Linked DNA regions of Struthio camelus. The protein of the gene in region 4 purifies or fractionates together with the protein of the main gene of each other region. This does not show direct contact. Links are inferred from orthologs where the notes say so. Each region holds a gene or a part of one and is shown on either strand. Other genes may lie near its edges.

Region 1 (7,940 bases), on a different chromosome or scaffold from region 4:
GCAGTGGCAGAGTACCTCGGCAAGGTTTTCACATCAGGAAACATCAGTTGTTTCTCTCAAGTTCTAATCCCAATACTTTACTTCTGGAAGTCAAGGGCTTGGGATCTCGCAAAAACCTGACTAGATTAAATTTAAGGTAATACCCTTCAATGTTCCACAAGAGATTAGCTTTCTCTCCCACTCTCTGACTCCGTGGCCTGGAAAGGGCGGCTAAGGGTACCCTTTTCTGGCAACTCTCTCTGAGATTACGAAGCAGTCATACCTTCTTTCTTCCTGGAGTCATCATAAGCCATGGCGGTCCTGCAGGAGCCTGAGAATGTGTTGCCACGTCTGGGCTCCTTCCCCCGTTCCCGTCTACAGGAAAAGGTCTGAGAAACAGAGAACGAAAATAACCCTCCCAGAAAGAAGAATCATAATGGAATATGGGAAACTTCCTATGAACCAAATGAAGATTCTCTGGAAGACAGTGGGAAAGGAAGGGAATCTACCTCCTGGTCTCTGCGTGCTCATATTTCAGGCTGGATAGAAATTTTTCTTAAATTAACTAAACACAATGGAAGCTGTTTTTCTCTTATTTTAAAAGAGGTAACAACACAACCTCCTCCTTGTAAAATATTCACATCATTGAATGAACTTATTTACAAAAGTATAAAGAGTGTGAGAAAAAAGGCTGTTTGACTTTTAAATGACAAAAAATTGAAACAGAACTTGTGTCAAGATCTTTTTTGTCAGGAGCCAGTGTAGGAAACAGTGTGATGTTTAAAGAGAAATTCCAAACCCTTGAATCTCAGAAGTAGTGAAGGAAAGGAAGAACTCAGGCAGGAATCATTGCATCATAAAAGAATTATTTCTGATCTTTTGAAATAAATATTTGAATAAATATTTGAAGATTTTGGAGTGAAGATGTACATCTTTCTGGTGCATTTCTGATGCATTTCCAGACACTACCACTGCAGCCATTCTGAATGTCAGCTTGGGAGAGGGAGCAGAGGAAAGTATTCCTTTTTTCTAGGACTTTTGCTGCACCCTTAGCCCCTGCCAGCTCATTAAGTTCCAGGTCTCTTCTAATTGAGGTATTCTACTCAGCAGTTGCTAGTATCTAGAAGGATACTGCCATTATAGAATAGTTGCACTCTAGTTCTCTCAGAGTTCTTCAGTCAGTGACCAGCTTAACTTTCAAAGAATAGCCTTCTGATAACTCAGTTTGCACTTAAAAGTGTGTGTTTGTGTGTGTGTGTGTGCGTGTGTGTGTGCGCATGTGCACACATACATCTGCAAGTGTTAAATCACAGAGACCACACAGCTAGTTTGGACTAGCTGATACAGTTATCTCACCATATTAGTTACATCTGAATACCTTGAGTACAGGGAACTTATCTTACCTACGCTTTGGGTATCCCTGCACATACACAAGTTTTATAAATAACTGGCTGATGCTAAAAAACATACAATGTATTTAACATGTTGTGGTTTTTTACATGAAAGAACAGAGCCCCAAATAATTCAAGCTTACAGACACATAGGAGAAATTAATAAGGATACAAGTTAATTCTTCTGTTGTCTAATATTCTGGGAAATCACCAACCACAGTATTTTTATATCAGCATTCTGACCACCATAAATTGTTGCTTGATAAATTGTTGCTAGTGAGCATAGCAATTTGTAAGCAGAATTTATGTATACGCACAACAGCACTGTGCTCCACAGTAAAAAATAATAAATTAAAAAAAAAATCTTGCCACTTGATGGGCTTACAGTCTTGGACCAGATCTTGCAACTTACACACGACAGTAAAGCACTGTGCTCAAAAGGACTAAGGCTTAATCTAGATGCTGGTTAGCAAAAATAGAAGATGGTCATTCATGAGGGGATGACACTAAGAAACTAAGATTCGTTTAGAGCTACAGGCATACCTTTTACTGACTTTTAAAAACTTCACTAAGTTGTCTGGCAGGTATAAAGGTTGCTACATGACAACCCTGCCCAAAGGGGCTTACAACCTAGATCTCTAACCCTGCAAATATAAAGCACATTTTTAACTTGTCTTCTACACAATCTGATTAGGTTCCAGTGCTTTAGATTCTTAGGTTACAGAAGACATCACACAGGCTCAGCGAGGCAGGTCTCTCCAAGTCTCCAGGTCCTTAACACAAGCGCTTGCTGGATCAGGAACACACATCGCTCTTGTGCGAACCCAATAGCACTCTCATGTTTCATCCCTCCAAGCGGGGCTGCACAACTCGCTGGTGACAGATGACGGTACGTGGAAGCAGAGAGGCCAGCAGCAGGGCTCCCAACTTGCCGCAGACGTTCCGTGCTCTCTCAGCGCCAGCCGTGCTAGCGCGGAAACCACGCTAGGACTTTCGGGGCGCGTGTAAGGGGGCAGACGTTGGCGCCCGTCTTTCCACGAGCGCGGCGCCCGCAGGCAGGTAGCGCCCCGGCGCAGAGCGGCGACGGGCGGCACAGCTGTCCCTCCAAGCAGGCCGCCTGGGCGGCCGCAGCCACAGCGCGGCCGGTGGGCCCGGCCCGCCGACCCCTGCCTGCGGGGCGGCCACAGACCCGGGCGCGCGCGCCCGCCCCTCGCCGCCAGCCCCCCGCGCGGAGCCCGGCTGCGCATGCGCACCAACGCCCTCCCCTCCCCCCCCGCCCCAATTCCCGCAACGGCCGCGGCTCGCGCCTTTCCCGCCGCCTCCGTTTGAACCGGCCTCGGCCGCTGCTCCCCCCCGCCCCCGCTCGCCCGCCCCGCCCGCGTGCCCTCTCACCCGAGCGGGCTCCGGCCTCACTCCAGCTCGCAGCTCTGCTCCTGGAGCAGGCCAAGCCTGTGCCCCCGCGGCGGTGGCGCCGAGCGGAGACGGGAGCTGCCAGCCCGCTGGCGCCAAGCGGCGGGCGCAGCTCCGGAGCGCAAAGGCGGCGCCGCCGCCTCACCGCTCGCCGCCGCTTCCCGCCTCGCCGCCGTAACCGTCGGCCGCCATCTTGGAGTGGGAGAAAAGACACACCCCGCCCGGCGCCGGCGGCAAGGCGCAGCCAGCCGAGCGCCGAGCAAGCAGGGGAAGGGGGAGAGGGAGAGGGAGGCGGGGTAAGGGCGCGCCGAGCGTACCGATGGCGCAGGCGCCGGAGGGCGGGCGCATTCCCGCGCCGGGCGGCGCACGCTGCGCGTCCGGTCTCTGCCTGCGCCGACGGCGTTGGCTCCTGCCGCGGGCAGCGCTCGGTAGGCGAGCGGTCTCGGGGGTCTGCGGAGTGCTGCCCCCCGCGCCTTCTGGAGGGCTCGTCCGTTACTGCAAGGGGATTCCAGACCGAGGTTAAAAAAAAAAGCTCAAGAACGGACTGGCTGGAAAAAAAAAAACAAAAAAAACAAGTCTCCCCTCCCCCCCCCCCATGTGAGCTTTTCTTCACTCTGTTCCTTAGCTCAGGAGGTCCCTATTCAACAAACCTCACTTAACTCTTACCTTAAATCCCATTATCTCTACTGATGGAGAAGTCCTCTTTTTATACAGATGCCGGCGGGAGCTCACATGCCTCTTTGTAAGCTGCTGCTCTCAGTCGCGTGCTGTCCACAGCCTACAGTTCCCAGCCATGGCCAAGGTTAAAGAGACTTGACCCATCACAGATACACTGGTTTCCCTGCACTGACAGATCTGCCTCCTGGTCTTGGTCGTGTTTTTTTTTTGTCCTAACAAGTGTGTAACGATGATGATGATTTGAGTTAACTGTGGAACAGTTACAGGAACCAGAATGGCCTCGCTGTGTTGCACTGTGTGCATCTATAGTTTGATTCCAAGTGAGGGGTTACAGCTTCTAATAAATTTCCCCAGCCGCTGTGCACAGATCAATGTCTGCAGGTGCAGCAGCTGTAACACCTCAGAGTAAAACCCACCAACCATGAGGACGTGTGCGAGGCCTGTGCAGGTGTTCTCATGCATGTATATACTCATTCCCGCTGCTGTTTATGCTCTCTATAAAATCTGTCCTTACTTTCCAACCCATAACACAGGAAGGAGTTACGGTCTTCACTAATGGGACAAGCATCTCTCCACAAATATATATCCAGAACCTTTCCAGAATTGAGCACATTGCCCAAGACCTGCTATTTGTCACAGATTACTGATGATGTTTTTAGAAATTCCAGTGATAGGTCCCTACTCTGTTCTACAATGCACTGAGTACAAGAAAAACATGGCTTCTGTCAACAGAATTTTACAGTCTTGAGCTTCCTTGCTGGTGCTACAGACTGTATGGAAACATCGAATAATTTCCTTGAGCAAGTGAGCATGACAGCCTACAGGTCAGGTAGAAACAGTTGGGAGGAAATAAAGTTTTAGCATGGCTGGGGGAGGCTAGGTGCAGCCTGAAGGAACAGAGATACGATCGATATGAAAATCAAAAGCCTACATTAGCCTCATGTCTGAAGATTGCAAATGTTTGATAATGGTAGCTAGTAAATATGTGGGGATGGTATGCTTAATATTCTGCATCCTAGAAAGAATTTCAGCTCCCCTGCAGTTTAATGGTTTTAGCACTGGATGTTTCAGAGGTATTAGATTGTGTCAGTGATTGCATGTGGAGGGGAGAGAGTGAATTTGCAGGTGAATTTGTGAAAATGAGCATATAGCAGGATACTTGTACATAAAGCCACTGAAGCACGAAGCATTCAGATCTCTCCTGCTGAGATGCATCCATGTTCCTCTCCTCCCACAGAATACTAATAATACTAATAACACTAATCATACTACTAATAATATAATGTAATCCCTCATTCTGCACTTTTCACCAGTGCAGAAGGGCTCAGAAAAACTCATTTCAGTCATTCCTATTCCCTAGAGCTAATAAAGAGATCCAGTACAAAGCACTGGCATTTACTGGCTACTTTCAAACAACTTAGCCTTTTCCTTTTCTAGAAAATCCAGGCATCCCTTTAGAATATACACCTGGACTGTAGAGGTCAGGTGGAGAAAATGTCAGGACACATAGCAAATTTAAGAGAGTCACAACCTCTCCAAATGTCTAACACCTGACAGAACTGTTTCTGTGTACTGTTGAACTGGAAAGGTCATCCTGAGGGAACAGGAAAAGCAAGCAGTCCCCATAGTGTCAAAGACCTGAAGTGCAGCATCAGTTAATCTCACGCTATTGTGAGAATATTGCCTATTCCTTTTGTTCAGAACATCTTGCATTCTTGGCCCTACATGCCAGAGAGAGAGGCTGCTAAAAGAATATGCAGTATGTTCCTTCAGTTCCTTTGTCTCATTGGCAAAGACAAACCCATTATATGAAAGGCTGTTGCCCGTGCAGAACATTTTGTGAGGTGGACATACTTATCTTTGATGCAAGATTAATTGCGTGCTAAGGGCTACTGCCCATTAAGGTGACCAATATGGTCTTGCTATTCCTATATACATCCCTATCTGTCCTTGTCTGCATATTTTCTCCTATCTACACTACTTAAGATGCAAATTTCTAGGTTCAGTAACTCTCTTTTTTTTTTCACACTTGTTTAGTACTTAGCCTGGTGAGTTCTCAAGTGAAATGAGTATAAAAATAATTGATAATAACCATGAGCACAAGCCCACAGCCAAGTTAGGTACAAAATTAAATACAGAACTCAGAGCTCTGAGAACAATTACCAGTTCTCCCTGCCACAGTTTGCAACTCGGAAATCTCTCTTCATTTCTGACTCACTTTTCCATACTTTTTTCCTACATTCACAGAGAATTTGGCATTAACTGGAATGGGACCTACATTAAATCCTCTGATCCCTGCCTCTCCACCAAAAGCCTTCTTTGTTTTGCACAGACAGTGCTACTCTTCTCTGTGTACACTACAACACTTGTAAGTTATCAGCTACCAAGCTGCCCTTAAAAGACAGCATAGCATATTACATTTTGGTAGGTTCTAAAAGAAAAAAACACATTTTTAAAAGGCTTATGGGAATGAATATGGAGGAAGTGACTTTAACGTTACAGCGGACTTCAGGTAGAGTAGATATTGGGTACCAATTCACAGAATCACAGGATGACCGAGGTTAGAAGGGACCTCTGGAGATCATCTAGTCCAACCCCCCTGCTCAACCTAGAGCACGTTGCCCAGCATTGTGTCCAGATGGCTTTTGAATATCTCCAGGGAAGGAGACTCCACAACCTCTCTGGGCAAAACGTTCCAGTGCTCAGTCACCCAGTCACCCAGTCACCCAATCACCCAGTCAGTTACCTCGGCCCTATAATTTCACTAGTCTTATTTATAAACAAGGCTACTGAGTCCTGTTTGAATATAAGGACTCACTTCCGCAGAGAAGCAAAACTTCAAAAGATTTGTTATCTGTTTCCGTATTGGGGATTTTCTTAAGTTGCTTCCCATTTGTCTTCAGTTCCTGCAGGAAGCATTCATTTTCTTGCCTTTTCATTTGGGAATAGAGTCACTAATGAAGCCGCAAGCGTAGGTGCATTCATTTGTAACATGAGTGTAACAGTTTGAACGTTCCCCAGAGCCACAGCTTCTGTCACAGTGGACACACGCATTCTCTCCCTGTTCCTAGTGCTGCACCTTCTGTATCCGCATGCGGAGAGAGGTAAAGCTGGGTGGGAGGACAGTGTCCTTGTCCATCTGGTGGGAAAACAATACAGCAGGATTAGTGGAGTCCAGAGGGGAAGAGGAAAGCTCCTGCGTTTGGTTAGCCAAAGGAAAGGGAGGGATACCTGGGCGGTATGTATGAAGGAAAGATTAAAGGCAGAGAATCAGTGTCAGATTTACCTCTTTTCACTGAGGTTGATTTCCTCCTAAATAGCTTCATACCTCAGCACATGCCAGGAAGGTAGGAGTGGTTTAATCTGAGTTTCATGGTGCCATACAAAGCCTATGTTAGTGCTTTTTGCTGGTCAGCTCTCGGTGCCTGCTCCCTGGGGTTCTGACTGGCCTCTGCTGACTAGAACTCCTTGCAGCCCCAGTGCCATGAAACTTGAGGCATTCAGCCTTATCTGGATTCTTGTTTTTCTTTTTGCCTGGATATGGTGATTTACTTCTTTCCTCCTCTCACACCTTAATTCTCTACATCACCGCCTTCCTCTGTACAGGCCGTACTGACCTGCTCCTCTCTTTTGAGAAAGAGTTACATGAAAAAGCCCATAGGTCTGGGCTTCTTTCCTACAATTTTCCCCAACTCCTGCTTGTGACAGAACCACTGCTTCAGCATTTGTCCTGCACTGAGTACCAGATAATATTATAATCTGGAGTTTTACAAGAAATGGAGCAACCACACAAAAAGCTAGAGTTAAACCGCTAACCTGGAAGCTAAAATGTCAGCCTGGCAGCATAGGTGGGTGTATACTTATTGCAAAGTTGATGTGGCCTTGCCAGGCCTGCCTATGAGTGTCCACATTGTGGAGCTGTGGCTCTCTGGTGGGCTCTCCACGCTTTGGTTAGAGGGATTGCTCTAGGATCTATGATTGCCTGTGGGTAAACTTCTCTCTTCCTCTCAAGCCCCTGAGCGGGAGAGTTCTTCACCAGCCAATGCATTTCTTGAAACACTTCTCAGACTTCATGCTCTGTGTTGCCAAGCTAGGGGTCTGAGGCAGGTGGGCATTCCATTTCTGCTTGTAGAGGAGCTGCTGCAGCTGCTCGCTGGCAGCAGGGAGCATCAGAAATAGAGAAGGGAGTGTGTGCAGAGCTCATTCTCATCAGGCACTGACAAGACAGAAAGGAGAAACAGGCTGCAGGCTGTGAATGCTATGCGTCTGCCCTATACACACCTGGTATCAGGGAATTTACAGTGCAAGGCAGGACAATGCTATTTTGCAGATTTAAACATGGGGACTTTTAAACAAAAATGGCTTAAACGGAGATGCCAGAGTCTGCAGATGAGGGAGACCATACTGGCACATCAACAGAAACATACTGCCACCTGCACATTAGCTACCTGGCGTTGCTGCAACTCCAAGGCTAAACAGGTA
Region 2 (7,280 bases), on a different chromosome or scaffold from region 4:
ATGGATAGGGGGTGTGGGTGGAGGCCCCAGGTAAGGCTGGTCAGGGCCTCCAAGGCCTATCAGTACCCTCAGAATCCTGGCAGATTAATTGTTAAGATTACAATGTATAAGATTACATCAGAGGAACACTTAGCTCTGTCATCACTCTTTCCAACTAAAGCAATTGTGAGACTGAACCAGCTAACAACTGAGATTTTGGGGGGAGGGGGAAGGGAAGGTATCTAATATAAGCAAAACTTAACTAAGCAAGAGCATAACACTGAAATTGAGGTAATGAATGGTTAGTGTGCTGTGGTTATTCACACTTGGGCTAGCCTATATAGATAAAGGTGGTAACCATGTGAGTTAACTCTGCAGTAAAGTCAGGAAACTGTTTTTAAAGAGCAGTTCCCGCATAGACTAGTTTTTCCCAAACTCCCCAGATAGTGCACTTATTTTTAATCCCAGATCCTACTTGTTTCCAGTCTATAAAGCTGTTTACTGCTTACAGCTCATGTGTTTTCACATGTATTTTGTGGTTTAAGTTCATAGCCAGCATATTTAAACTACAAATGACTAGGTGTGTATATATAGATTTTTGGACCATAGCATTTAATGGAGAGTCTCTTGAATGTGAAATCCTCTCCCCACCCCCTCAACATCTTTGTATTGCAGGGAACATACTGAATGTACAGAATGAAGTACTACAAATAATTAAACACAAGTAGGTATGAGACGCTTCATAAATATAATGTATATACAGTTTTTCCTATTCTCGATAAAATTATTTTTAAGAGTGAGCTGCTTTCATAGTAAATAATATATAGGCTGCCCAATTACCTTGAAGGCAGGATTTCTGAACCGAATATAGCATGATATTGCCATCTAGTGGCACTTGACAAAAATACTACCCTTTTCTTGTAAAATTCTCTTTTCACTCACAGGAGATTAAGTAAGAGAGGGCACAGATCACAACTGATATTAAGACATCTTTTATTAAGTAGTTATTAATAGATTCAAACTCTTATTACTAACAGATAGTTATTCACACAGTGCATTCACTTATTTCCTCACACGGTTCAATTACACGTACACACAATCACCACATATTTACGTGGTCTGAGCAAGAGTTAGGTGGCTGGCCCCAGATGTTTATTCAGAAGCAGAGGGTCACACTGACATGCCAGTGGCTTCTAGGTAGCTGCTGGGAAAGTCCTTTAAGGCATTCTTTCTTCCATCAGGTGTATTTATGATGCTGTAGGCTTGTGTAGTTGTAGTAGCCACAGCCACCACTTTCTTGGATGTGGTCTGAGTTATACGACCTGTTGATGCTTGTGTGTGCTGGTGGCCTTCTACAGATTTGGCAAACTGTTGGTGTACTGAGTGTATCACTTCTTGTGCATTCAACAGGTCTACTGTTCTCCGGAGTTTATCAGTTCTTGGGAGATTTTTTTCACACACAATCTCTCAGCACATACTTTACCTCTCTGATCAGCTTTGTGGTAACATTTCTCCATCCACACCCATAGGTACGTACCTATAGAATTCATTTACATGAACTCATACAGAACGGAATCTTATGACAATTTGGCCTATAATGCAATTTCACAGAATATCGAGACCTTTTAAAAAAAGTTACCCAAGCTTTAGTTTAGAGAAACTAAGTCCACCACAATTAACTACTTGTTTGGGAGAGGCTGAGTATCTACCGTCCAAGATCACAAAGGAAAGACTCTTTATAGTCTTATCTAGAGATAACTATGAAAATATCTTTGGATCCACACCTCACCAACTCTCTCCATATTCCAGCAGTTTTTGAAATGTAAAATGGTAACAGTTTAGGACACTATGAGCCTAAGTATATGCAATTTATTTTTCTGTGTCTAACAAGAAAATATAGTGCCTGTCACACAATATGTCAAGTGCCACCTTTGAGCTGGACAGAGAAGGCCTTGCTATGAAACTCAAGTGTTTAGGGGACTACTGGTAATTGTGCCTGGCAGATTGTAAATGAAGGGAGGAAAAAAAATGGGAAACCACAGAAGTAATAGCTAAGTCCACAACTTTAACATGACAGCTAGTGTCATCCCCCCCACCCCAACAAAAAACTTCAGAGAAATTCTGTGAAATTTACAAGTATTACAAAAGATGTAACTATAAAAAGGTGTAAAATATATGCAAAAAACATTATGCTTTTATATTTAATTAGATTTGTGGAATATGACTTGATAATACTAGTGTATATCTAAGTGATTTTTCATCTCATGGTCTGTGGACCTGCAGGAGCACACAACATAGTCGATGGGAGGTAACTAAGAACATCTAAGCAAAGTGCCAAATGCAAATGCTAAGCACACAAGTAACAAATCTTCAAAGGGCACCTTTCATGAAAGCTGCAGCTTGATTGTTTTGTACGGCATGTAACGTTCCCATGAATTTCAAGTAAAAATCAAGCTGTGACAAACACTTGAGAGTGCTTCGTATAGACAGAAGCTACAAGCAATTGAAACTGCTGTAGGAAAGTCAAGTATTAAAAACGGCTAGTGAGCTGTTTTCTGTAAAGATGCAAGAACAAATGCATCACAGAGCAGATTTTCCCCAACTCAGAGACTTTTGCAAAGGTAACGTTAAGCTTTATGATCTAGATGACCCTGCTTAGAAAAGGTATTTGGAGTACTCTTAGCAACAGTCGTGTCACTCCTCAGTTGTGCTAAGAAAAATGTACTTCCCAAAGGTTTTTAAAAATAAATTACCTGGAAGGTCTACTGAAGACCACTGTGGACCTTGCCTTGTTGCAAACTATGCAACAGACACTGAAGGCAGTAGTGTGCTTAATAATTTGTAATAGCACTGCTATTTTGCAGCTGTTTCACAAGAAGTTTCAGAGCTTCTTGTGGTCTATGCTAGACCATGATTTAGAAACTGAATTCCAGAACGATCAGGCAGTCATGGAAACATTTCAGAAATACAGGGTTAACTCTTCACAGAATGACATCTTTTATTGGACACTATGTATATATTGCAGAGAGGTCTTTGATGCACCTTTCTAAATGCAGTGTATGTGAACTGCATAACCCATTTGCTCAGTTTAGTTGCTGATTCATGCTGAAAGATCTTGATAACAGATACTGAACTTGTTACTGGAATGAAAAAACTTTTATTGCTTGTTCTGCCTACAGGGCTGGGGTTTGATCTATTTCTTTGGACAAGGTATTGCCTCTGCAAGTAATCATCAGGTAAAATGGATGATTTGGAGCTCTCTGTTTTTTAACTCCGCCATCTCAAGGATTGTTTTGGAATCCTTCAGGAGAATGAGCCAAGCTGGAGCTCTGCAGCTTAGAACCTGAACTCTTTGTACGGACAATCAGAAATACGCGCGCTGACAAAAAGCAAACTGAGTGGCTTCATAAGTGCAGCTTTCAACATGAAATATGTAATCACTGCTGAATTTAGAATGATTAAAAACAATGTTTCTAATGAATACCCCTTAAACTACTCTTGGCTTGGGAACACCTTTGGTATACCTTAGCTCTGCAGATGTTAAGGAATCATGTTCCCCCGAACAGAGCATGGGGCACCTAGGAAGACGTACTGGTGATATGCAGCACTGTTTAGAACCAAGGGATATGATTTGCAACTGCGACCGTTTCCTATCTCTTACCGTATTCTTCCACAGCCTGGCTCCTGCAGCGTTGCCTCTTTCCTCAGCTCCTACCGCTCCCCATGTCAGCACGGACGCTTCGCTCTCCCACAGCAGCCGGGACGACGGCCGTGCCAGGGCGCGGGGACATGCCTGGGCTGAGCTGCCACTGGCAGCAGGCTGCGTCCCGTCCCTCGGGGCCTGACAATTACAGATGCGGCAGCGCGGGGGCCTTAGCAGTGGCTGTAGTGGGCTACACACCGTCACGGCTACTGGCTCTGAGAGCACGGCGGTGCCTGGGAGAGCCGAAAGGCCTGCGGGCCGCGGCGGCCTCGCCGTGAGGCGGCGCTGCCGCAAGATGGCGGCGGCAGCCTCGCAGCGCCGCGGCACGAGGCACCAAGCGCCGCCCCGCCCGCCTCGCCTCGCCTCAGGCACGGCTCCAACCACCGCCCCCCACCCCACCCCGCGGCGTGTGCGCATGCGCGACGCCCCGTCCCCTGGCGGCGGCGGGAGAGGCGGGAGCGGCCGTGTCGTGGCACCGCCGCCGCGGCGTGGGGTCTCGCGATAGCTGCGGGCGCGGGAAGGCGGGCGGGGGGCGGAGGCCGGGCCGCGCGCTGTTTGGGGGCGGTGGGGTCGCTCCCCGCCCCCGCCCCGCCCCGCCACCGGCCCCGGCCCGGCCCGGCCCCGCCGCGCGCAGCATGGACGCCGGCCCCGGCAGCGCCGCCCGCTCGGATGGCGAAGTGCCGTCCACCTCCGCGGCGGCGGCGGCGGCGGCCTCTGCGCAGGAGCCGGCCGCCGAGGAGGTACCGCTCCGGGGAGGGGGCCCGGGCGGGCCGCAGAGCGCCCAGCGCCAGGGCCTGTGCCGCCCTCCCCGGCCGGCCGGCCGCCCTTGCCCTGCGCCCGGCGGGGGGCGGCGGGTCGGGGCTCTGCGGGGGCGGCGGGGAGGCCCCGGGCTCGGCCGCGGCGCGGGGCGGGCGGGCAGCGCGGCGGCGGCCTCGGCCCTGGCGCCTGGGGCTCTGCCGGCCGCGCGCAGCCCCGGTGCGGAGCGCAGCGCTCCCGAGAGGCTGCCCCGGCTGGCGGCCGCCGGCCTGCGGGGCTGGTCGGAGGAAAAGGTCCCACCGGGACGGCCGGGCTAAGGCCGCTAGCCGCAGCGGTGTTTTCAGGTATCCTTGGAAACCGAGCAAGATGTAAGCTGAGGAAGGAGCCCTGTGAGAACTCGTGCCCGGGTGCTGTGGCGTTGCAGAAGCTGGCAGAAATGATGATAGCGCCGTCAGAATTTTAACTCCAGCTGGGGAAAGTCTGTTTCTCCCTGGAAGTCCATTCTTCCCTGAGAAGAACGCCTGTTTCTTGCACTCTTGTGCGAGAAGGGCGGTTGGCTGTGAAATAGAGGGCAGTGTACTTGTGAACATCACCTGATGGTTCGGGAGAAAAAAGGATTATCTCTCTGTTGGATACAGCTTGTACTGTCAAATTGTATACATCTCAGCTGATACAAAATTGATAATAAATGTCTAATGAGTATCTGGCGAGATCCTTTGGGAGTAGTGAACAGGTTAGAATGTATCAACCATACTGTTCCCTACCTTTCTTAAGGAGGAGGAAAAAAAAAAGGAGGTTGCTGTTGTTTGAGGTTTTCATTCAGACTATGGAATTTCACTTCCATAACTCTACAGGTAGGAAGCTACATAATAATGGGATATAATGCAACCTGTTGCGCCCCTTTACCCCTTTCAAGGTTTTGCTTCGCTATACATAGTCTCTTGTTGCAGCAGCAGTCTAATAGAGTCCGAAGTTAATGATTGTTTGCAATGTGTTTCCACTTTGCATATGTGAGTTCAACACAAAAGGAGGTCCTTCTGATTAATGCATCTATTTAGAAAACTCAGCAGCACAGGGTACAGGAATAAAGTCGACCAAAGCAGCAGTTCTTATTCCCAGTCATTTATTTAGGCATTCATGTGGATAATCCAATTTAGGACAAACTATTGCACTGACTAGATAGAATTCTCTCTCACAGCCTGAGGTTAGTAGCTTTGTTTAGACTAGTTAATAGAGATTTTAAGGGAAAGTGTTTTGGGTCCCTGGAATGCCTCGGGCTCTGTTTTTGAAAGAATTGTGCAATGTTATTGATCATAAGATGTTTAAATGACACAATTTTTCAGTGGGCTATGTTATCTCAAGTTTAATCTTTAGTGGAAAATTTTTTTAGGGTAGAGGTGGGTAATAACCAGATGGTTCCTTGCACAAAATGAGTTAAAAGTGAAAGTACCCTTTTGCTGGTATATATATTTTTTTGCACTGAGGCTTCTGCTGATCAGATTTTCTGTTAAATCAGTCCTCTTACTATTGAAGATGCATTGTTTCTAGCGTATTGTTTCTGGGGTACGACTCCCATAAACTTATGAATTGTTTTGTGCTTCTGTGTTGTATTAGACATATGCTACAGTTAGTAGGAAAAGAGAAAAGCTTTCTTATTCATATCAAAACGTAATAATTGGCAAGCTCTAGTTTTTTATAAGGCAGGATATTACCCAGCAGCAAGTTCAGATGTGGTGGTCGTGCCTGCTACCCATCTAGCTCCACCAGCAATGTTTTGAGGAAAGAGTATGCTATGGTTTCACTATGTAAGTTGTCAGGAAGAGAAAGGATACTGGGATGCGTATGTCTTAAGTTGTTTGTGTGTTACTTCAGTTTTTGATAGTCTCCTCCTGTTCATTACTTCTGATATTGTGGGGCCATCAATGATCTGTAAATCAGATGAAGAAACACTGCAATGAGGAGTGAGGGTGAGCAGGGAACACCCTGCTTTTTCTTGAAGTGTTTTTCTTGAAGGTTACGGTGTAGAATGTGAATTTACCATGCTGTAGCTGTGGTAAATTTACATACCAGTTCACTTACTTGTTTAACTGGGAAAGCGTATTATTCACAAGTAATTATTTCTGAATAAGCTGGATGGGTATGGCCAGTGTGAAATTTCCTTCTGCTAGGGAAATCTGAGTAACAGGACAGACAGTCTGGTATTAGAGCCATCTGCCTTTGGACTTGTAATGCAATAGCTTTCCAAGGGGATTCTCATAATATTGAACCATTCTCCTCTGTCCAGGAGAAACTTCAGACTCATCTGAGGTAGACAGATGACTTAATTTTTTGAGACACATTCATTTACATTACATGTTCATTTAGGAGCATGTTAATTTATTTCCGGGGAGCTGAAAGAAACATCTGAAATGGGCTACTGTGAAGTATTTTGTCACTTTGGTAACAAGGAGATTGTTTCCAGTATTAGCATTGGTAGTCTTTCACACTGAAGTTTATGCTATGTTACATAGTAATCTAATGGAGGCATGGGTATACACATGTGTATGAACTGCTTTTTTGTATGTTGGCATAACAGCCCTCTTGTAACACTTCTTTCTGAATCAAGCTGTCAGAAGTTAAGTCATTTATCATAGAAAATTTCTGATGCTATCTACTTGCAACATAACCATTTGGCCTTGGAAGCTGAAGTCAGGCATTTATAAAATCATTAAATTGTCAAACAACTTTATTATACACTTAGTACTGTTCATCTTTGCAGAGATTTATGTCTTTGGGCCAAAACTTCGAAAGGTGTTCTCCAGCTTCAGATTATGTTCCTCTTATTTATGTCCTTCCACATAAA
Region 3 (7,557 bases), on a different chromosome or scaffold from region 4:
AAAAAAGGGCTTCGAGCCAAGACTGAACTAATCAGAAGTTCCAGTATATTGCCAAAACAACATAGGTGCTTTAACTATTAATCAGTTACTCAGTGCCAGAATACCATACACTCTATGGAATATTATGATTAAAATGCTTACATTTAAACTTACTTTAAAAAGCTAAAACTGAAGTTACCTTGATCAAGTGGAAAATAAGCATATAAATTATCAAAATGATTTCTGCTACTCAAATACCAATTAAGACTTGTCTACGCTTGCACAACAATGCACACAGAGATACTTTATTATTATTTGCCAGCACATTTCAAAAATCAAATACACCTGTATTTTGTAGAACTCTTTTTCAGCCTGGATTTTCACGTCAAAATATTTTCCTGACCTAGCCTCTTAAAGCGATAAAAATATTTTTTCCCTGACAAAAGCACCAAAAAGAGGTAGTCAGAATGAAAGTTACCACAACTAAACAGAAAATTAAGAGTTAAGAGAGAAGGTCAGAATTTTTCCTGTGAAGCTAGACCTCCATCTGTAAAGTAATAAATATCCAAAGGAATTCAATTTCATTGTAGTACATCCCTGCAACAGGTAAACTAGCACTAACACTTATTCCAGAAACAAACAAATAAAATTAATTCATTTAGTGACATACATACTTACTTTCAATTCCCTTAGGTTCCTAAGGATATGGATATAAATTTAAATATTTGCATATGTATATGTATAGTTACACACACCCAGTTTTTCAAAGGACTACTAGAGTATCAAATAATGGACTGATACCAGTAAACTCACTAAAACAACAACAAATGACACATTTAGTAGCCAGTACTTCCCCCTTTTTAAAAGTGATCTGCTAGCTACTCAAAACTACACACCTTAAAAAAAAAAAAAAGATGCAATGCATTTGCACAACCTGTTCCTCCCCCCTTCCAAGCTGGTCAAATACTTGTACAGCAACAGTGTTTGTTATCCTGGAGCCCAATTCAGCAACACATTCCCAGGTTATCCCCAAGTTTAACCAATGTCCTGGCTCAGAGACCAAAAAAAAAAAAAAAGAGAGAGAGAGAGAGAGAGAAAAGAAAATAAAAAGAAAACAATTAAAAAATTCTATGCCTGAACTCCATTCATTCTGGAATTAATTCAAATAAACCTAAAGTGCTTAAGTTCAGATAAAGAATTGTTGAGGCTTCAAACCCACATACCTAATGAACTAATTAAAGACAAAAAAGAATGCAGGCCCTGAAAAAAAAATTTAGCCCAAATTTGCCATTAGGTTAAAAAATAAAAAATTAAAAAAAAAATTTAATCACGATGTTAAAGACCTTTAAACCCCAATATGAGTTTTAAAGCTTGCCACATCTTAAAATAAATGCGGTGTTTAGAACCAAGACTTTTGACTCAACCTCCACCCTTTAATCTTTGTGTTTAAGAAAGCCTTATTAACTAAAACTAGGTTTACACCCTTGCAATGAGGCCCTGTGCACTTTTCCCCAAACTATAACAATGCAATCTCCATTTTGAACAATGCACCTCATTTCCCTCCTTGAAAAGCTAGTTTTGTCTTAAAGCCAATAAATGCTGCTTCCAGTTGTACCTCTGATTTCAAGAGCCTGCAAATTTTCAGTGTTTATGGGTTTTTTAGACTACTTCAAGTTGCATGTGCTTCTTTTCCTTATAACATTAAGTTACATTCCCAGGCACAAGCCACCCTCTCCTGTATATATTTGCAACCACTTCTTAGCAACGCATGCACCTCCTTTCCCTTGTTTTTAAATCCTAAGTGAACGCTCTATACACTTTTGACGTTGTTTGCAACACGTTCTGGTGTAGCACGCATTTCTGCGGCGACCAGAACCTCTATGCATATTCGCCAAGCATCCCCTCGTTGCAGCATGTATTACCCCTCCTCCTCCCTCCCCTGACTGCATGTGTGTTTGCAAGCACCTTCTAAGGTTCCCTGCATCCATGGGGTTGCCAGGCGTTAATTTGCATACCCCTCTCTCCCTGTGAGTGCTTGCAGGCATCCCTTACGATCTGCATGCATTCTTCCTCCCATGCGTGTACGTATTTGCAAACCTAGAGGGAGCATGTGGGGTGCCCTCGCCTCGTTTTTCGCTCATCCCACTGACTCTCTACCTGGGGTGCTGCTGTAGGTGCTGTGGCTCCTGAAGCTGCTCTCAGTGCAATAACTGGCATCGTCTTCATCCTCCATCTCTTCAGGGTAGTCAGAGTCGTCGTCGTCCTCCTCCTCCATGATCTCCTCCTCCTCTTCCTCCTCGGAGTCCTGGTTATCCTCGGGGTCTCCCTCCTCTTCCTCCTCGGACACCATGCTCTCCTCCTCCTCTTCGCTCTCATGATCGTCGTACACCACTTTGCTGATGCTCCTCCTGGACGAGGCAGCCCTGCCTTGGCTGTTGCAGCTGCCTCCTCCGCCTCCTCCCCCTGCTCCTCCAGCCCCGGCCCTGCCCCTGCCCTTACCGCTGCTGCCTCCCCCACCAGGGGTGCTGCTGCCGCCGCTGCCTCCCTTCCTCTTGCTGCCCCCCCTGGGGGAGGTGGCGGCCGAGGAAGAGGCCTGGGCAGCCCCGGCCCCCTTCTGCTTGGGCCCCGCCGTCTCCGCCTGGGCCGAGGTCGCCCACCTGCCGCGGCTGCTGCCCCGCTGCCGGGACCGCAGCCCCCCAATGGGGCCCGCCGGGGCGGGCGGAGCCGGGGAGCTCGCCTGAGTGCTGCCCGCCGCCGGCTGCTGCTGCTTGGGCGGCCTGCCTCGCCGGCCCCGCATCTCTGGGCGCTGGCCGAGGGGGGAAGGGAGGGGGAAGGAAGGCTCGGGAGGGCGCTCGGAGTCCGGACAGGCGGCTACGGGGAAGCTCCCCCCCTTGCGAGGGATCCGGACCGGGGAGGGGGGCCGCCGAGCTGTGAGGGCCGAGGGTTCAATCCGAATTGCCGGCGTCCCGCTCCGGATCGCCACCGGCCGCCATCTTGTTTCTTCGTCTCTGCCTCGGCTCGCTCCGCTCTGACTGGGGGAAGCGGCGGCGGCAGCAGGCCCCGAGCGCCTCACGTGACCGGCCGCGCCCAGCCGCCGCCGCCAGGGGGCGCCGCCGCCGCGCCGCCGCGAGAGCCATGTTGGAGCCAGCGCGCTGAGGCGGCTCCGCGCTCCCCCGCCACCCACCCCGGCCGCGCGCGCGCGCGCGCTCGGGGCTCCCGCCGCTGCGCAGCCCGCGCCGAGCCCCCCTCATCGCCCCGCCGCCTCCTTCCCCCACCCCCGGGATAAAGCTCCCTAAACCCCCCCGCCTTCCACCTGTCCCCAGGCTCTGCCTTCGGCCCCGCCGCGGGGCTCCCCTCAGCGCACGGGGGCGCCCCGCCGGCGGCGGTTCACCACCTCCCCCCGCCCCAAAACTGACCATCTTCCCGCTTAAATAACGACGCCCGTCACAGGAGCCCCGCCGCCGAGCTCGACCCGCCGGGTTGGGGGGGGGCCTCCCCCCTGCCCCGAGCTCAGCTGGCCGCAACTCCCTCGCGGGACAGCTGCGAAGGCAGGTAGGCAACAGGGCTCGTCCCGCCGCTCCGGCACCGGCCGAGGCCCCTGGCTGCGGCTCTGCCTTTTTGTTAATCCTGCAGAGCCGCCAGATCTCCCCCCCCCCACCTCCCCCGTTAGGCAGAAGCGAACAACACCCTCTTTACAACTCACCCTCGCCTGGCCACGGGCGGCAAAAAGCCGAAACGCTGAGGAAAACCACGCAGGACACACGGCCCCTCGCGTTGGTGTCCGGCCACTTGCCCCAGCACTGCTGCAGCACTGCAAGACCGAGATAGGCTGCACCTGCTTTGTATTCCCTCATGTGTTTCCAGTCCAGAGCCCCCAAAGGGCAACCAAAAAAGAAGAAGAAAAAAAGCCACCCTACAGAAACCAATTGCAGAACTGGGTTTCTAATACTGCCGTTGAATTCAGGGTATTGCTTTCCCAAGCAAAAGAGGTACAAGATGAAACCCAGCCCAAGGCATGAAAACCACTTGCATTTCCCACAACCAGCCCTTCTCCCTCTGCATTGGCAAAGGAGCCCAGAGAATCTAGTCTTCTGTTTAAGCAAATAAATGCCTTCGCGATGCACAACCTAGCACTGGTCACGCCCTGAGCATGCCAGTTGTACGTTCGATATTTAATTTAATTTGAATTCTTCCATAGATGTTTCTGAAGTGCCTTGTGTTCATAAAGTTGTTGCTCAGCCCAAGAACCTCATTAAACCCACAAACCTGCTGCATGCAGTGTCAAGCACGCAACAATGCCACAATGGCACCAGGCAGCAGGGTTTAACCTGATTTGCACTCTTACATCCAGCTTTTTATCTGCATCTCTTTTCCATTTGGTCACACTCTTTTATATTCAATAGTGCAGCTGCATAGGCTCAGAGCCATGTTCTAGACACAGTACCATCCAGACACAGTAACAGCGGTAGACAACATTGCTTAATTTAACTTACACCATTATACTCAATTTGTATTCTGAATCTTTCAAAGTTACCTTTAGTTTGCTTCCATCAAGTTGATTTTTTTAACCTCTCAAAGTTCCACAGTATTGTGGTAACTATTAAAATACATACTTACACAACTAGTCCTAAAGCATGCATCTGTGTGTTTATCTCCCTCTATGATCTTGGGGGGAAAAAAGTGTGAATTGTGCCATCTATGTATTGAGAATCTAGCAAAAAAAATCTAGTGTAGCTACTACAGAAAACATTCACACAGCCTGTAGCCTTAGGAGAACGTTAAGATCTGTGACATACGGTAGGTTTTGTGTACCTGTAGCAGATCAAAGGTGCTAAGAATCCTTTGTTTGCTTTTAAATAGCGTAAGGCCAAAATACATTGTTTCCTAATCCCACCTTTTAAGACTTGTTAGTCATTAATCTGGAAGTGCTTTACTGAATAGAACATCAGAATTATAATTTTATAGATGGGGAATGGGGATGCATTGACAGATATGTTAATTTTCACTCAGGACTGAAAAATTACTCCTTTCTAGAGCATAGCTTAGCACGGAGGAGGAGGGGAAAAAAAACCCACAACAAAACAACACACACAAATCATACAACCCCCCAACCTACTCACCTATCCTCGTCCTTTCCCAAAGACAAAACGCATCTCCATTAGGAACTTGAAGTTCACATATTAAATTTGCTAGTATAGTTAAATGAGCACATTTCTAAGTGAATACAGCAGGAGGAAAAATTTTAGGTAGGTGGTCCTAGGCTCCCTCCATACTCAAGATGGATGGAGAGAAAGACTCCTTTCAAAAGGCACTTTGGAAAAGATGAATAGCCTAGTTGTTCCAAGCTGTTGTCTGGATAGGTTCCTTTCTCCACTAGTAAAGGAAAGAACTTACGAACCTACAGTTGGATGGCATAAATAATCCAGCAAGCATATGCTCTTGCTTACATTACTGAGCTGCTTTTGTCCAGTCCTTCCCTCCAAATGTGTCACAACTAACACATACTAGGCACTGAACTTAAGTACCCTGCTCTAGAGTCCGTAACATGTATATTGGTAAGACACTGAGAGGTTGCTAAGTATTGTTAGAATAGAGCTCAGCTATAGACTAAAACTCAGCCTTAGAAAGCAAGGGCTTATGTGATTTTTGCTGATGTAATCTACATACTGATTGTAATTTTATTTAATATTACAAAATACATAAACTGTATCAATACACTGATATGCTGAATTATATTAACATTCAATCACATTATTTACAAAAATAAGTTTAAGTTGTTAACATCTGATCTGCTATTTTGGATGTAGACTGACAAACTGTCTTCACTGGGAGCTCCTATCCCCCGATAGCCCCTTTATTCAGTAGATACTTACACCTGTAATAGTGTCAACAAATGTTGCATTCATAAAATTTTGAGATTTGGATTTCACTTTTGACTAATCTAAAACAAACATATAATTTGGAATGTTTACGTTCTCCACATGCATAAACCTCAAGCTGTATAAAACAAGCAGTATGAAGCAGGTCAGCCTAACTTTATAGAAATTAAGGCATTCACCCTTTGAAAACGTATTTTTTAAAAAATGGACACCCTTGTAGGTAAGAATATTCTTATTTTAGTTAGGAGGTAAGTCATCTTGCTCAGAAAGTTTAACCTACTGCTGCCAGTGCCAAGAAGTACCACTCCAAATGATTCTTCAGCTGTTCAGTTTAGGTTTTTTTTGTTTTTAAATATATATATATTTCAGTCCTGACCTTTGATAAGAGTGGTGTATACAACAGGAAAGTGTTAATTTCCACTCTTAAGGCCTTTAACTGTGTGCATCTGTTTCAAAATCATACGGCTGAAGTCCAGTAAGTTATGCACCTAGTGCTTCAACCATAACAGTGTTATGTTCTAGCTCTTGCTAGAGAGGGGATGAAAATGCCAAGAAAATGCTATTGTTCATTCTCAGGCAACCTAAACCTTACAAAGGTTAAGAGTGCATTTATTCAAACAATGCTTTCCAGCATTTTGCTCCCAATGAAACTGGATGTCTCCTCAGTGTCCTATTATGTCAGCACAAGTCAGCACTCCCATAGAAAAAAAAAAAATCATAGATAAAAAGTTATTTTCAGCTAGGCCACTCTCCGTTCTAACCTAATGGGCAAGATATTTCTGCCAGCACTGCTCAGGAAGCAAGAATGGTAACTGCTTTTATGAATAGTATGGTCAGCTTAAAGACATGTCAAACTGAATCCAAAGTCCACTGCATTAAAGTCCACTGCATTAAATTTTACCTTAAGGTTATTTTAATACCTCTCTCTCCTCTTCCCCATGAGCTTCAAATTGAACACTGGTAACATTTCAAACAATGCATATTTAAAAAGACAAAACTATCTTGGATGCAATCTTTCAGCGTCAGAAAGCTTCCAAAGTTTCTAAAGCAAAAGTCTTAAAATACAGCTAGTTATACTGTAATCCAGTAACTGCATTCTGCAAGTCTGTGCAGGAGAGCATGCTCCTGAAGGGAGGTCTGTCTGCTTAAGAAAACAGTCTTTTCCTTCTTCAGCAGGAGGCAACCTCTGAGATAATAATAAGGATTGTAACAAGCTATCATATTAAATAACTGTACTTTGCTTCTTCATTTGAGGAAGGAATCTAGTTCCTGCCCTGTATCTCTTCCTTCTCTATAGCTGTAGACAACTTCTGGATGCAGGTGGTCTTATCAGAATGAGATTCACCAAAACAGCTTTAGATTATCACGGTATAGGGCTCGTAACTGCTAGCTGCCGCACAAACCTCCTGCACCCCCAACATCTCTGCTTCAGAACAATGTAACAAGGTTGGATTAGAAAAAAAAAAAAAAGGGGAGGGGGCACAAAATGGAGGTTGGACTAGAAAAAAAAAGGGGAGGGGGCACAAAAATGGTACAGTAAACTAATTGTGGTACTATAATGTCTAAGAGAGAGAAAGCAGTGCAAGTTAGGTACCAACCCTATACCCATGCTTAAGTTCCTTTCCCTGTATAAGTTAAGGCTGTAGATGCCAAAGGCTTCTTTGGACAAAGTGAGAACAATTAAAAATAGGAAATCAAA
Region 4 (7,523 bases):
CCTCAGGTGGCCTCTTGCCCCTAGACCTGCTCCACGGCATCTTCTGGGGTCCTCTCCTGCCCCACGGCATCTTCTGGGGTCCCCTCCTGCCCCACGGCATCCCCCTGGGGTCCTCTCCTGCCCCAGGGCATCCCCCTGGGTCCCCTCCTGCCCCACGGCGTCCCCCCGGGTCCCTTCCTGTCCCTATCTTTGCCCCACGGTGCTCCTCAGGTGGCCTCTTGCCCCTAGACCTGCTCCACAGCATCCTCTGGGCTTCCCTCCTGCCCCACGGCGTCCTCCCTGGGGTCCCCTCCTGCCCCACAGTGTTCCCCTGGGGTCCCCTTTTGCCCCACGGTGTCCCCCCAGGGCCCCTCCTGCCCCTAATCCTGCTACAGGGACCCTGGTGACCCCATGGGGACCTCCACAACCATATGGGGACCTGCATGGTCCCATGGGGACCCTGGTGACCCCCTAGGGAACCCCATGGAGATGCCAGAGGCCCCCTTGGAGACCTCCATGACCCCATAGGGGCCCCAAGGGGGACACTATAGACCCCACAGGGACCCTCACAACCCCAGGGAGACTCCCACAACCCCATAAGGACACCTGTGACCCCATAGGGACACCCATGACCCCTAGGGGGACCTCCACGCCCCCACAGTGACTCCCATGACTCCATGGGGACCCTGCAGGCCCCATAGAGACACTGGCGGCCCCATTGGGGACACCATCGAGGCCCCCATGAACCCCCCAGAGATATCACAGCCCCCACGGGGACATCACAGACCCCATGAGGACCCTCATGACCCCATAGGAACACCTGTGACCTCAGAGTGACCACCCATGACTCCATGAGGACCCTGCAGGCCCCATAGGACCCTGGTAACCCCATTGGGGACACCACTGAGGCCACCATGAACCCCCCAGAGATATCACAGGCCCCATGGGGACATCACAGACCCCATGAGGACCCTCACGACCCCTTAGGGACCCCCACCGGCCCCATAGTGACCCCTCTCCGGCCCCCAAGGGCCCCCCCAGGCGCACTCACCCGGCCGGGGAGGAGTCGGACACGGGGTGCAGCTGCATCGTCAGCTCGCCCAGCTTGGTGAAGGCGGCGCCGGCGGCCGAGAAGATCTCGCCGACCTGTAGGGAGCCGGCGGGTAGCGGGACCAGAACCGGCACCAGAACCGGCACCAGGATCACCCCGCGTGACCAGACCCAGGAGCAGAACCACGCCAATCTAACCCAAAGCGCCCCACGGACCAGAAGCAGGACCAGAACTGGATGAGAACCAACCCAATAAGACCCATATGGCCCTATGGGCCAGAACTGGGAGCAGAACCACCCCAATAACACCCATAACACCCAACTGGGAACAGAACTGGGAGCAGAACCACCCCAGCAACACCCATATCACCCAACTAGGACCAGAACCAGGAGCAGAACCACCCCAGTAACACCCATGTCACCCACCTGGGACCAGAACTGCCCCAGTAACACCCATATCACCCAACTAGGACCAGAACCGCCCCAGTAACACCCATATCACCCAACTGGGAACAGAACTGGGACCAGAACTACCCCAATAACACCCATGTCACCCACCTGGGACCAGAACCACCCCAGCAACACCCATATCACCCAACTAGGACCAGAACCGCCCCAGTAACACCCATATCACCCAACTAGGACCAGAACCGCCCCAGTAACACCCATATCACCCAACTGGGAACAGAACTGGGACCAGAACTACCCCAATAACACCCATGTCACCCACCTGGGACCAGAACCACCCCAGCAACACCCATATCACCCAACTGGGAACAGAACTGGGACCAGAACTGCCCCAGTAACACCCATATCACCCAACTGGGACCAGAACCGCCTCAGTAACACCCATATCACCCAACTAGGACCAGAACCGCCCCAGTAACACCCATATCACCCAACTAGGACCAGAACTGGGACCAGAACTACCCCAATAACACCCATGTCACCCAACTGGGACCAGAATGACCCCATTCACACCCATATCACCCAACTAGGACCAGAACCAGGAGCAGAACCACCCCAGTAACACCCATATTACCCAACTGGGACCAGAACTGGGAGCAGAACCACCCCAGTAACACTCATATCACCCAATTGGGACCAGAACCAGGAGCAGAACCACCCCAGTAACACCCATATCACCCAACTGGGACCAGAACTGCCCCAGCAACGCCCATGTCACCCAACTGGGACCAGAACTGGGACCAGAACCACCCCAGCAACACCCATGTCACCCAACTGGGACCAGAACTGGGACCACAACCGCTCCAGTAACGACCATGTCACCCAACTGGGACCAGAACTGGGACCAGAACTGGGACCAGAACTGCCCCAGTAACGCCCATGTCACCCAACTGGGACCAGAACTGGGACCAGAACCACCCCAGCAACACCCATGTCACCCAACTGGGACCAGAACTGGGACCACAACCGCCCCAGTAACGACCATGTCACCCAACTGGGACCAGAACTGGGACCAGAACTGGGACCAGAACTGCCCCAGCAACGCCCATGTCACCCAACTGGGACCAGAACTGGGACCAGAACCACCCCAGTAACACCCATGTCACCCAACTGGGACCAGAACCGCCCCAGTAAGACCTAAATCGTCCCATGGGACTAGAAGTGCCCCAGTAAGACCCAGTCGGCCCCGCCGGGACCGGAACCGGCACCACAACCGCCCCAGTAAGACCCAGTCGGCCCCGCCGGGACCAGGACACCCCCCCCCCCCCCCCAAAAAACCGGGACCGGAACCGGGATCTCCCCCACCTTGGTGGACGCTGACGTCATGGCTCCCGCCCCCGGCCCCTCCAGCCGCCGCCGCCGCCGCTCTGGCCCCGGCTCCTCTATGGTGGCGGCGCGGCCCGTACGGGCCGGCTCGCCGGTGTTACCGGCGGCGACGCTCTGTCCCCACCCCCCCCCCCCGCCGCCGCCTCTATGGTGCGGCCCGCGCGGGCCGCACCGCTCTATGGTTTAAAAACCCCCTCCCCCTAGCCCCGCCCCCTCCACTCTATGGTTGGAGGCGAGGCCACTTCCTCTTCCGCGACTAGCGACCGCTCTGGGCTGCGCTCGATGGTCTTCACTCCTCCCGCGGCGGGGGGGGGGGTTTTACACCACCAGCTTCCCTCCCCCAAACCCCCCCCCCCAAAAAAAAGAAACCCCAAAAAAACCCCATCCCGAGGCCTTTACACGCTTTATTAGAGAGATTGGTCCATAAAGAGGGAGGAGGGCGGCTCCAGGGGGGAGACCCCCCCCCCAAAGCCTTTGCCCCCTCCCCAAAATCCAAAGGAAACCATTGCGATGGGGGGGGGGGGAGGTTTGGGGAAGACGGGGGGGTTTGGGGTGAAAAAGGGGGGTCTGAGGGGGTGCGGCAAGTCCCAGGGGGTCCGACGCAGCCCCCCCCCCCGGGGGGGGGTAAATAAATAAGGGGTGGGGGCAGCCGGACCCCCCCCCGCTTTCCGCGGTCTAGCGGACCATGTACTCCTTGCGCTTGTTGAGCCGGACCTGGCAGAAGGAGAAGCCGCCGAGCAGCACGTAGAGGCCGGCCGCGATGAAACAGTTGTAGCTGACCTGTTCGTACAGGCGGTAAATCTTCTCCGGTCCGCTGCGGGGAAGGGGGTGACGCGGGGAAGGGGGTGGGACAGCCGTCAGGGACGGCCCCGCCGTGAGCCGGGCAAGACCCCCGTCGTCCTTCCTTTCACCCTCTCCCACCCCCCGGGAAAAAAAAAAAAACAAGGCTCGACCCCGTCCTCGCCGCCTGTTCCCCAAAAATACAGGGCTCGACCCCGTCCTCGCCGCCTGTTCCGCGAAGCAATAGGGCTCGACCCCGTCCCTGCTGCCTGTTCCCCAAAAAACAGGGCTCGACCCCGTCCCTGCCGCCTGTTCTGCGAAACAATAGGGCTCGACCCCGTCCCTGCCGCCTGTTCCCCAAAAAACAGGGTTCGACCCCATCCCTGCTGCCTGTTCCGCGAAGCAATAGGGCTCGACCCCGTCCCTGCCGCCTGTTCTCCAAAAAACAGGGTTCGACCCCGTCCCTGCCGCCTGTTCCCCAAAAAACAGGGTTCGACCCCGTCCCTGCTGCCTGTTCTGCGAAGCAATAGGGCTCGACCCCGTCCCTGCTGCCTGTTCTCCAAAAAACAGGGCTCGACCCCGTCCCTGCTGCCTGTTCCGCGAAACAATAGGGCTCGACCCCGTCCCTGCCGCCTGTTCCCCAAAAATACAGGGTTCGACCCTGTCCCTGCTGCCTGTTCTGTGAAACAATAGGGCTCGACCCCGTCCTCGCCGCCTGTTCCCCAAAAATACAGGGCTCGACCCCGTCCTCGCCGCCTGTTCCGCGAAGCAATAGGGCTCGACCCCGTCCCTGCTGCCTGTTCTCCAAAAAACAGGGCTCGACCCCGTCCCTGCTGCCTGTTCCGCGAAACAATAGGGCTCGACCCCGTCCCTGCCGCCTGTTCCCCAAAAAACAGGGTTCGACCCCGTCCCTGCCGCCTGTTCCCCAAAAAACAGGGTTCGACCCCGTCCCTGCTGCCTGTTCTGCGAAGCAATAGGGCTCGACCCCGTCCCTGCCGCCTGTTCTCCAAAAAACAGGGCTCGACCCCGTCCCTGCTGCCTGTTCCGCGAAACAATAGGGCTCGACCCCGTCCCTGCCGCCTGTTCCCCAAAAATACAGGGCTCGACCCCGTCCTCGCCGCCTGTTCCGCGAAGCAATAGGGCTCGACCCCGTCCCTGCCGCCTGTCCCCGAAACAACAGGGCTCAGACGTGAGTCGTGCTGTTTCCCCCCTCCATCACCCCCACCCCAAACTGAGCCCCATCCTGCCTTCCCCCCTCCCAACCAAAGCGCCCACCCCCAGCCCCATTTCCTCCCCCCGCCTTCCCCCAAAAATAATAAGCAGCGGGCTGTAGCCCCCGTTTTCCCCCATCCCCTCCCCAAAAAGCCGTGCCCCCCCCCCCAACCCCCGGGGCACTCACTCCTTGAAGTCCTCCTCGGTGAAGGGGACGTCCTCTATGAGCACAGCCGAGTGGACGTTGAAGAAGATGCCCAGGAGGACCTGGGGGGGGGGTGTTTTTTTTTGGGGGGGGGGGGAAGAAACGTACAGCGCCGTGCGTAACCCCGGGAAACGTCCGGCGGCGCGCGGGGTTCTCCTCGTCAGCCGCTCAGCGCCTGTTTACACGCAACAGGCTGCCGGAGCTGACCGGCGTCAACCGGAGCCACCCCGGGGTGACGGGGACGGACGGGTGACGCAGAGGCGCCTGAGGGGAAGCGGGTGCTGCAGGGGGAAGTGGGGGGGGGGGGGGCTTCTGCCCCATAGCAGGTTGTGGGGGGGGAACGACGACGGAGAGCGCCTGTTTTCTCTCGTTTCGGGGCGCTGTAGCCTCCCCCCATTCCGCTGCTGCTGCCCCATAGATGCTGCCTCAGCCCCATAGGGCACCTGAACTGTGTAGCCTGCCCCCCCACCACCACCCAGCCCCATAGATTCCCCCCCCAGCCGTATGCAGGGCCCCATGGATCCCCCCTAGCCCCATGGATCCCCCCCCAGCCGTATGCAGGGCCCCATGGATCCCCCCTCCAGCCCCATGGATCCCCCCCAGCTGTATGCAGGGCCCCATGGATCCCCCCTCCAGCCCCATGGATCCCCCCCAGCCGTATGCAGGGCCCCATGGATCCCCCCTCCAGCCCCATGGATCCCCCCCAGCCGTATGCAGGGCCCCATGGATCCCCCCTCCAGCCCCATGGATCCCCCCCAGCCGTATGCAGGGCCCCATGGATCCCCCCTCCAGCCCCATGGATCCCCCCCAGCCGTATGCAGGGCCCCATGGATCCCCCCTCCAGCCCCATGGATCCCCCCCAGCCGTATGCAGGGCCCCATGGATCCCCCCTCCAGCCCCATGGATCCCCCCCCAGCTGTATGCAGGGCCCCATGGATCCCCCCTCCAGCCCCATGGATCCCCCCCCAGCCGTATGCAGGGCCCCATGGATCCCCCCTCCAGCCCCATGGATCCCCCCCAGCCGTATGCAGGGCCTCATGGATCCCCCCTCCAGCCCCATGGATCCCCCCCAGCTGTATGCAGGGCCCCATGGATCCCCCCTCCAGCCCCATGGATCCCCCCCAGCCGTATGCAGGACCCCATGGATCCCCCCTAGCCCCATGGATCCCCCCCCAGCCGTATGCAGGACCCCATGGATCCCCTCCCAGCCCCATGGATCCCCCCCCCAGCTGTATGCAGGGCCCCATAGATACCCCCCCAGCCCCATGGACCACCCCATGGATCCCCCCCTCCAGCCTCACAGATCCTCCTCCAGTCCCATGCACTGCCCCATAGTTCCCCCCCAGCCCCACAGATCCCCCATACAGCCCCATACACTGCCCCATGGATCCCCCACAGTCCCATGCACTGCCCCGCACAGCCCCATGCACCACCCCATGGATCCCCCCCCAGCCCCATGGATCCCCCCCAGCCCCACGGATCCCCCTCCAGTCCCATGCACTGCCCCCCAACCCCCCCAACCCTATAGATCCCTCTACAGCCCCATGGATCCCCTCCCAGCCATATGCAGTGTCCCCCCCAGCCCCACAGATCCCTCTACAGCCCCAGGCACTGCCCCATGGCCCCCCACAGCCCCATAGATCCCCCCTACAGCCCCAGGCACTGCTCCATGGCCCCCCCCAGCCCCACAGATCCCTCTACAGCCCCATGCACTGCCCCATGGCCCCCCACAGCCCCACAGATCCCTCTACAGCCCCAGGCACTGCCCCATGGCCCCCCACAGCCCCACAGATCCCCCCTACAGTCCCATGCACTGCCCCATGGCCCCCCACAGCCCCATAGATCCCCCCTACAGCCCCATGCACTGCCCCATGGCCCCCCACAGCCCCATAGATCCCCCCTACAGCCCCATGCACTGCCCCATGGCCCCCCACAGCCCCACAGATCCCCCCTACAGCCCCATGGCCCCCCACAGACCCCCTCTACAGCCACATGCACTGCCCCATGGCCCCCCCATAGCCCCATGGATCCCCCCTACAGCCCCATGGGCCCTCACAGCCCCACAGATCCCCCCCTACAGCCCCATGCACTGCCCCACAGATTCCCCCCAGCCCCATGGATCCCTCTACAGCCCCAGGCACTGCCCCATGGCCCCCCACAGCCCCACAGATCCCCCCTACAGCCCCATGCACTGCCCCATAGCCCCCCCCAACCCCTGAAAGCCCTCCAGCCCCACACAACGCCCCACAGACCCCCCTCAGCCCCACAGACAACCCCCCCGGCCCCTTAAAATCCCCTCCAAGGCCCCACAACACCCCCCCCTCAAGCCCCATAGACCTCGCTACCTCCTGCCCCCCCACCCCCCAAGCCCCACGGCGCCCCCTCACCAGCATGATGACGCCCCAGGCGCTGAGGACGATGCCGCAGGCGGCCAACTTGGGCCCGCAGCAGAGCAAGGAGACCATGGCGGCGGCGGGAGGAGGAGGAAGAGGAGGGGAACCGG

Evidence for each region.
Region 1: the proteins of BACC1 (region 4) and HMGXB4 purify together in Homo sapiens (affinity purification with mass spectrometry; 4 studies listed by BioGRID and IntAct, with this or other methods). This does not show direct contact. The link is inferred for Struthio camelus from reciprocal best matches to the Homo sapiens genes BACC1 and HMGXB4.
Region 2: the proteins of BACC1 (region 4) and SMARCA1 purify together in Homo sapiens (affinity purification with mass spectrometry; 4 studies listed by BioGRID and IntAct, with this or other methods). This does not show direct contact. The link is inferred for Struthio camelus from reciprocal best matches to the Homo sapiens genes BACC1 and SMARCA1.
Region 3: the proteins of BACC1 (region 4) and BPTF purify together in Homo sapiens (affinity purification with mass spectrometry; 5 studies listed by BioGRID and IntAct, with this or other methods). This does not show direct contact. The link is inferred for Struthio camelus from reciprocal best matches to the Homo sapiens genes BACC1 and BPTF.

The regions. Positions count from the first base shown.
Region 1 is NC_090942.1:59,909,602-59,917,541, forward strand, and holds the start of HMGXB4 (HMG domain-containing protein 4), read right to left. Parts: upstream 3,010-7,940; 5' UTR 2,763-3,009; intron 2,361-2,762; exon of another isoform or gene 369-2,360; 5' UTR 294-368; coding exon 263-293; intron 1-262. UniProt on the Homo sapiens protein: Negatively regulates Wnt/beta-catenin signaling during development.
Region 2 is NC_090952.1:9,558,318-9,565,597, forward strand, and holds the start of SMARCA1 (probable global transcription activator SNF2L1), read left to right. Parts: upstream 1-4,272; 5' UTR 4,273-4,317; coding exon 4,318-4,422; intron 4,423-7,280.
Region 3 is NC_090960.1:4,481,914-4,489,470, reverse strand, and holds the start of BPTF (nucleosome-remodeling factor subunit BPTF), read right to left. Parts: upstream 3,011-7,557; 5' UTR 2,777-3,010; coding exon 2,137-2,776; intron 1-2,136. UniProt on the Homo sapiens protein: Regulatory subunit of the ATP-dependent NURF-1 and NURF-5 ISWI chromatin remodeling complexes, which form ordered nucleosome arrays on chromatin and facilitate access to DNA during DNA-templated processes such as DNA replication, transcription, and repair.
Region 4 is NC_090978.1:338,593-346,115, reverse strand, and holds the start of BACC1 (chromatin complexes subunit BAP18), read right to left. Parts: upstream 3,006-7,523; 5' UTR 2,824-3,005; coding exon 2,803-2,823; intron 1,126-2,802; coding exon 1,031-1,125; intron 1-1,030. Other genes in the region: RNASEK (ribonuclease kappa), read right to left, coding at 3,499-3,637, 5,003-5,082, 7,408-7,485. UniProt on the Homo sapiens protein: Component of chromatin complexes such as the MLL1/MLL and NURF complexes.